2 linked regions of the Xenopus tropicalis genome follow. The protein of the gene in region 2 purifies or fractionates together with the protein of the main gene of each other region. This does not show direct contact. Links are inferred from orthologs where the notes say so. Each region holds a gene or a part of one and is shown on either strand. Other genes may lie near its edges. The genes, in order: plekhg5 and rnd3.

Region 1 (4,274 bases), on a different chromosome or scaffold from region 2:
ATATACCAGTTGCGAGACTCAGCTTTTGCTCCTTTTGCTCCTACTTGCATGCTATGTCTACCACTAGGAAGCATTTTTTAGCAATGCAAACAATATGATCTATACAATGCTGAAACCTTCTGCAGCCTTCAGGTAATGTGCTTTTTTAGACTGGGAAGTTTAGGGTAGAACCAATTTTTTAAACCCGGACCGGACTCGGACCCCCAACCCGCATTTTTACCTGACCCACAACCTGAACTGATCTGCCCTGCCAGGTTTTTTCTTGGTGGCCCACTGGCCCAATCCGACCATGATAAGCTCCACATAACGACCTGCAGACCCACCAATCCACATCTATACCCACATCTAAAAATCCTACCCACAACCTCTACCTGACTCTAGGTGCAGCAGGCTTAATATAATAATCATATAATCATTAACAAGCAATATAAAATGTCTTTATTGGAAGCCTTTTTATTTTCTGCAAATTCAATTCATGTTGTTTTTATTTTTAGTAGTAAATTTTACGAATCTATCCATATTAAGCAATATGTCATGACAGTCTTTCTAATATCTTTGGGTGGTTATGAGTTTGACTAAGTGGATTTTGTGGAAGTGCATACAAAAGAATTAGAGGGAATGTTGCACAGAAATGAATTCTTGCTCCTGGGTACTGGCACTTCTAATGGCAGCTGAAGGGGTGATGCAAGGACAAGACTGACAATCATGTCTGGTGGGTTACTCTGCATCTCCTACACCTATTGTTGAAGGACTATTCCCAGTATCCCTAGTAGTGGACCTGCAGATAGTAGCAGTTCTGCAATAGCACACAGTGGACCATGGGGCAATGGGGACTTGTTTTGGACATGTCAGATGGAAATGGATTGCATGCAGTTAGTAAAGATATGCATTAACAGTATGATTTAGCTGTAATATGATTTGGGTATATATCTAAACAAATGTACAAGTCTATAATATATATCTGTTTTTCTAGGTTAGCATAAATAACTTTTTCACAATGCTGCCATACTACATGAGTTATCTCTGATTCCAGGGGTTTATATAAACAGGATAGCATACATTAGCAATCCCAAGCATACAGCAATCTCAATGACTTATACGCTGCATGATGTCGTATTTCTATCCCTTGTACCCACTGGGTTGCCTCTTGTATAACAAAATTCAATTTATTGCTATTTAAACGGCACTACTTGTTGCGTTTGCTTTTCGTTAAGGGTTATAAACTGTTTTGTTCTATGATTTCTGGTTTGAAAAATGGGTTCTTTTTTTTACAATCACAACTGAAAAATCTGGACACCCACAGTCAGTTGATTAAAAACCCATTCTCTATATACTATTGCTGTACTGACTGTGTGGCAAAGGACGGGCACAAGATCTTGGTTTCTTAGCTCCATTTTAGTCAGACACAGAGAGGGATAAACACATTTCGTCAGGAGCTGATCAGTCTTTAGGCTGGAAATCATCTGAGACATTATTTCCTCTCTGCCGGTGTGTTATTCACAGCTTGTCTGGGATTTCACATTCAGACAGAAGAACAGCACAAGGGCTGCTTATACACAAGATCCTCTAAATCAATGGGTGAGTTGAGAAATATTTGGAAGAATCTGCTTAAAAATAGAAAAATGGTATCTTTGTGGCTCTAGCAATGTTTGTTATGGGGGGGGGGGGGGTCTATGCTATAATTCTCCTTATCAAAATCTTTGTATTTAGTAGAAAGGAATCTGTTACATTTAATCAAGACTGGCAGCAGTGCATGTCAGACAGCAGGATCTTATTGCTTTATATGATGGGCTCATTTTAATTTTCCGGTTGCTTAGAAAAGGGGAAAACATCAACTATAACACTGATAGCAATTTATTTTATGTCAGAATATATGCAAATAATGTGGCACATAGATTCTTTTTTATGTCTTAAAATGATAACTTCTCCATCATATATATTGTATATATGTATATCTTTATTTATAAAGCGCTACTTATGTACGCAGCGCTGTACAGTAGAATGCATTAATACAAACAGGGGGTTATTAAGATAATCATAGATTAATACAAAGTATAACAATAAATACAAATAAATACAAGATACAGTTGCAATAAGTTAGGAGTCAAAGACACAAGAGGATGGAGGTCCCTGCCACGGAAACCAGTCCATTTTAGGCAAATAATTCTAATTATTTATAATGATTTCCTTTCTTTCTCTATAATAATAAAACAGTGCCTAAGCTGAATGCATATTGACAAAGCAAGTCAATTGGGTTTAATGTTTAAATGTTTTTTTTAGCAGACTTAAGGTATGTGTTCTGAAAAGATCCTTTATCCAGAAAACCCTAGGTCCCAAACACCTATACAATCCACATTCTGTATTTTTAATTTCCAGACGGTGTTGTGTATGCTGCATTCCAGGTCGGCAACCATTTAAATTATCTTTTATTGTCTTTTATTTAAATTGTACCAACATTTTACAAAACTTGGTAAAGTCATACACAAAGCAACCAATCAGATATTTTTTAAAGAAAACAAACACATATTAATCATTTGACTTACATTCAAAACCCAGAAGTTCAAGCTCAAAATATAAATTATATAAATATAGGAATTTGTATGTTCTCCATGAGTCTCCTCTGGGCAGGGGCGGGCCAAGCTGACCGGGTGCCCTAGGCAACTTGGTCGGCCACCCCACCCCTGCACCTTTTCCGGGGTGTTTGCATGTTCGATGCTGACAAGTGGGGGGGGGTTGGAGTCATTGCCCCCGCCGCAGTGGGGCAATGACAAGGATGCGGGAGGGCTAGGGGGTAGACAAGGGAGGTACCTGCCTGGCACCCCCCATCATTGCGCCCTAGGCAGGTGCCTCTTCTCTTCCTCTAGTTTCCTCCCACACTCCAGAAACATACAGGTTAATTGGCTCTTGATAAAATTGGCCCTTCTGTGTGTGAATGTGATAGGGACACTAGCCTGTAAGCTCCACTAACTGATGTAAATAATGTTCAATCTCTGTAAAGTGCTGTGGAAATATATCAGCACTATATAAATACAAGGAAATTAATGTATTTACATATCGTTGGGGACCAAAATAAGAAATGAGAAAGAAACAAATCATAATAGGCTAATTTATTCATTCAGTTCCCTTGTTATAGCTCAACCAATGCAGAGTTTTGATATGCTGTATGAAAAATGTCTTGGACTTTCAGGACCTCCAAAGACCAATGGCCTACTTTTTAGTGTGTGCAATGGATGTTTCATCTAATTTAGACATATATATCATATTCGTTATACAACATATGGATTACATTAAATGTTCCTTGCTGTTGTAGATATGTCCAAAATGTATATTTTCAGCTGGTACATTGTTTTTTTAAAGTGGCAAGTTGTAGCTGTGTTACTACAGCCGGGATTTGATCAAGATTTGGCCTTTGTCAGCAGAATTCGGATTCTGCCAAATCCATGTGCCTGGCCAAACCAAATCTGAACCCTAAAAATGACGTGACTTTTTGTCACATAAAGAAGTTGAAAATTTTTCGCAATTCCCTTTACCCCTCCGTGGCTACATTTGCATATGCAAATTAGGACTTGGATTTGGTTCGGTATTTGGCCAAATCTTTCACAAAGGATTCAGGATTCATCCCAAAATAGTGGATTCAGTGCATCCCTACTAAATAGTGACTGTCCATGGCACCTTACAGCAGCCCCTCATTTGCCAGAATCCACAGATTGCTAGCCCAAGCCTGAACTGAACCCACAAGGAGTGAAGTGATAAATTGACCCCAGTTAACCAGCTTCAGTTAACCAGCTTCCCTACAAATACCTGTAATGCAAACCCTCAAAATAAATAATGGCACAGATTACATTTTTTCTTTAGTTTTCCAAATGAATTTTAACAACAGTGCCACCTGCTATGAAAATGAAGTTAGAAGAGTAGTGTGTCATGAATCATGATAATTCTCTGGTCAGATCCAAGCAAAGCAACACCACATTTCCTTTCTCAGATGCACTTTTTTGACTGTAGACAGTCAGCTGTAATGAACAGCAGGTGGCACTGGTGTGCAGTTACCAATAGTAACCAATCAGCAGGTAGCAAACACTGTTCAAAAGCATGCATCTTATTGGTTGCTTAGGTTACTGCACAGCAAGCCTGTTTGTTACATATGGGGATAAAACTTTGGGGGAATATGAGAAATGCTAAATTTATCAAATGGGCTAATCAGTTTGATTATGGTTCCAGCAAAGATCAAATGACAAATGAAATCCAGCAGGAAACCTGTGTCTCAGTGGCAGGAT
Region 2 (4,275 bases):
GTGGGTGATGGTTTGGAAGCGAGCCCCCCCCCCCCCCCCCAGAATGCTGTGGGCAGAGCGTATGGAATGTTTATGTTGATTGTCACTGCAGGAAGCTGTTGCCTAGAAGGTGCCAAGGCCTCATTACGTAGCAGTTATAGGCTCAATGTGACCTTGGGGCATGGGATGGCACGTACCCGTCGCTCTGCATGAATAATGAATGTATCATATGTGAATGTTCCACACTAAGCGCGATTATTAGCCAGCCCAGCGCCTCCATCCTCATCCATTACTCACACACCAGCATATGGCACCGCGAGCGGAGGCTTCTCATTCCCTAGGAGGCTCATTCACATCAAACACAGTAATTATTCCCCATTTCTAGATTCCAACGCGGCAATGGCCTTGTGCTCCAGGCCGTGGGGGGGGGGGGGGGGTGGGGGGGGGGGGGGGTGGAGTGAAGAGACTGCACCGTTCCCCTTTCTGGGAAAAAGCTAGAACTGTTGGAAAGTGTGGAACATAAGGCAGGGGAAAGAACGGGATATTGTGTAAAATAAGGCAAGAGGGAGTAAGAGGTTGCAGCTGCAGGATACTGTGCTTAGCCAATGACACTTAGGGGATACAGGGATGAAGATGTAGAGATGTAGTTCAATCGCTGTGATTTTGTAAAAGGACTCCCCTCTCCACCTAGAAGAGTTCTGGCCACAGAACATTGATTAAATAGAACTACAAATGCTAGAACTTACTGTCTGAGACTGCCCAGCGCCTAACCCCTTGCCAGCGCCTAACCCTAGCTGGCCCCTAACACCCTAGCCGGTGCCTAAACCTAGCTGGCCCCTAACCCCCTAGCCGGTGCCTAACCCATTACCCAGTGCCTAACCCTAGCTGGCCCCTAACCCCCTAGCCAGTGCCTAACCCTAGCTGGCCCCTAACCCCCAAGCAGATGCCTAACCCCTTAGCCAGCGCCTAACCCTAGCTGGCCCCTAACCCCCTAGCCGGTGCCTAACCCCTTAGCCAGCGCCTTACCCTAGCTGGATCCTAACACCCTAGCCAGTGCCTAACCCTAGCTGGCCCCTAACTCCATAGCCGGCGCCTAACTCTCTAGCCGGGCATAACCCTAGCATAACTGTTATTCCACTATAAATTATGAATTCATTCCGATTACTATGTAACTGCAGATTAACGCCGACCCAACATAACAGACTGGCACAAACGCCAATTACACAGACTCAGGCAGGACCACATGACCCAGGCCACACTGATGACAGAGACTTGCCATTAGGACTTTACACACAAGGGAATAGTTACAATGTATCCAACAAAAACATAAATGAAACAGATGCAAGTGCCAGTCCATCACTCCCAGGCAACTCCCAGGCACCCTGCAGCAGAATGTTTATTTAAAGGGATATCGCAGCTTAAACTTACCAGACGTATCCCAGAGACTCAGCTCTATCCTCTGCGTGTCGATTTCAAAACTGGCCGTGTAATTCTCAAATACGGTGGGGACGTAATTCTGAAGGGGAAGAAAGGAAAATGCATTTGATTAGCCCAGATCATTCCAGGGGCAGCAACACACACACTATTCCCAGGGCTTTGTCCTTCCTGCTTGGGATGGGGGGTAGATTGATTGACAGGTGGGTGGGCACCAGTATTGTGGGGTCTTTATCCATCCTACTGGCTATTGTATGAAACCTGTGTGTGGGACGCAGAATCACTGCTAGTTTAGGAGAGAGGGCCGAGGAGCTCCAGTTGCCCCTTACTGTACAACCAAAGGCCTGGGTAGGGACGGTGAGAGTTGTAGTTTAGCTACAGATACAATGTAGCAGATTCCTGGAATACTGGGATTTCCCAAACTTGTCTAGAGGTGTAGGCTGATGGGAGACAGCGGAATATACTGATGTACAACAGGATTTCATGGCAACATTAACCCAAACAGCGGTCTAGAACCCCAGATACAGGGGTAGAACAGTAAATCAGAACACATTGCATTAAAATCAGCCCCCCCCCCCCCCCACAAATACTGCGACTTAATCCAGATTCAAACTGATTTGCTTTTCACATGCAACACAACAGAAAGGGATTCCCTGTCCCACAGAGCTTGCACTCTCCCTCTGCACAACAGGCACATACAGAATTAATAGAGCCCAGAAGAATACGCCAGCAGATGGTTTTAGGGGGTTCATTTATGACCCTTTTAATGACTGCCCACCCTACAGTAAATCCACAGGAGGGCCATCAAAGCGAGGGGCAGTTGTGTGTTGGGGGGGGGGGGGGGTAGGTTACAGACGAACAGGGTCCCTTAAACAAGCCAGGATCAATCCAAAGGCTGAGACGTTGCAATACCATCTTCAACCAGCAAATGGCGCTCAACAGCTGCTATACTTAGTAGGCCAGTTTTTGTAGGCTGTTTCCATGGCTGGTAAAAAAAAAAAAGAAGATAACTGTACAAAAAGGATCAGCCTATGGCCCTCCAGCTGTTATTCCAACCCAGTTACTAATATGGAGGTCCCAGGGAGGCTGAAAAGGAAAAAAAAAGATATATTTCTTATCTGCAGCCACTTAAACATGAACAGCTGGAGGGCCACAGGCCGGACATCCTTGCTGAATAGCCCAATACAAAAGCTGGAGGGCCACATGATACTGAGAGTTGCAGTTGCCCATAGCCTTAAAGGGCAAGTGTGCTGGGTAAGGGGAAAGTTACACTGCCCCAATATGAAATGGAATGAAGATTCCCCCTCCATGCAAATCCTATGTGGGCCCCTGAGGGACCTACCTCAGGGAAGGAGTCCTTGGCAAAGACATGGAGCAGGGCAGTTTTGCCACACTGGCTGTCCCCCACCACCACAATTTTACATTTCACATTCTGGTTGGGATCCATCATTGATTTGCTGGCCAGTTTCTGACTCGTTCTTCTTTCCTTCATTGATGTTTATGGGGAAACTTTCCTTCCTGATGAGCAGAGAGTCGGGGCTGCGGCGAGACCCCCCCGGAGCAGCTTGATCCACCAGCGGCAGCGGGGAACCCTCCTACATCCAACGGCGGAGATGACTGAGCTTTGTTACTCTACTACTGACAGGTTTTATAGCGGGCCCCGCCCCCTGTCCCTATTCTTCTGTAACCGGAGACTCCGCCACGCCCACCCTTTCTCCTTGTATGGAACATGCGGCGAGAGGACGGAGGGGAATCAAACTATTGGGCTGTGCGGAGAGTGCGCCATCTAGGGGACTGTGCCGGAAGTGCCGCAGTTTGGCAATGACAAAGCAAGGGGGGCAGCTCAGGCAGATGGCTTTGTTTTCCTAAAATACTGATTTGGGTTTTTTTTCGTTGGGCCTCATAGGAAAGTGGGTAAATTTAAGGAATCGCGGCCAGTGACCATAAATGTGTTGCTGCACTACATATATCAGAACCAAGGATGCTGTGAGTTGTAGTAAAACTGAGACTGAAGGGCATATTCCCGTTATAAATGCTATAAACATCTCTTTTGCTGTTCTGAAACAATTTGCAATTGGTCTTCTCTTTTTTTTTTTACTTACTGTGTTGCCTCTTTCTAACCTAAAATGTACAAAATACTGTGGCTGAAGGGTAACAGCTACACCCAGCCCTGCCCATTGTAACTCAGCAGCAGGGGGCGCTAATGTGTGTATTGGCTTTAGCGCATCCCTTAGCTTCATTCACTGTAGCCTGGGATGCCTACCTGCTGCCCTCCAGCACTCACATCTGTAATGTACTGCAATGTTTTCAATGGTACAATGGAGAGATGGTGCCTATAGTAATAATAATAATAATAGTCTCTGGGAAGGGACTGGGGCTGGGGGATAGCAGGTATAGTAGGGAGAGATGGTGCCTATAGTAGCAGTGGGGGGATAATAGCCTCTGGGAAGGGACTGGGGCTGTGGGATAGCAGCTATAGTAGGGAGAGATGGTGCCTATAGTAGCAGTGGGGGGATAATAGCCTCTGGGAAGGGACTGGGGCTGTGGGATAGCAGGTATAGTAGGGAGAGATGGTGCCTATAGTAGCAGTGGGGGGATAATAGCCTCTGGGAAGGGACTGGGGCTGTGGGATAGCAGGTATAGTAGGGAGAGATGGTGCCTATAGTAGCAGTGGGATAATAGCCTCTGGGAAGGGACTGTGGCTGTGGGATAGCAGGTATAGTAGGGAGAGATGGTGCCTATAGTAGCAGTGGGATAATAGCCTCTGGGAAGGGACTGTGGCTGGGGGATAGCAGGTATAGTAGGGAGAGATGGTGCCTATAGTAGCAGTGGGGGGATAATAGCCTCTGGGAAGGGACTGGG

Evidence for each region.
Region 1: the proteins of rnd3 (region 2) and plekhg5 purify together in Homo sapiens (affinity purification with western blotting; 3 studies listed by BioGRID and IntAct, with this or other methods). This does not show direct contact. The link is inferred for Xenopus tropicalis from reciprocal best matches to the Homo sapiens genes RND3 and PLEKHG5.

What each region holds. Positions count from the first base shown.
Region 1 is NC_030683.2:99,439,375-99,443,648, reverse strand, and holds the start of plekhg5 (pleckstrin homology domain-containing family G member 5), read left to right. Parts: upstream 1-1,416; 5' UTR 1,417-1,574; coding exon 1,575-1,578; intron 1,579-4,274. UniProt on the Homo sapiens protein: Functions as a guanine exchange factor (GEF) for RAB26 and thus regulates autophagy of synaptic vesicles in axon terminal of motoneurons. Involved in the control of neuronal cell differentiation.
Region 2 is NC_030685.2:76,554,067-76,558,341, reverse strand, and holds the start of rnd3 (rho-related GTP-binding protein RhoE), read right to left. Parts: upstream 3,014-4,275; 5' UTR 2,906-3,013; coding exon 2,756-2,905; intron 1,496-2,755; coding exon 1,408-1,495; intron 1-1,407. UniProt on the Homo sapiens protein: Binds GTP but lacks intrinsic GTPase activity and is resistant to Rho-specific GTPase-activating proteins.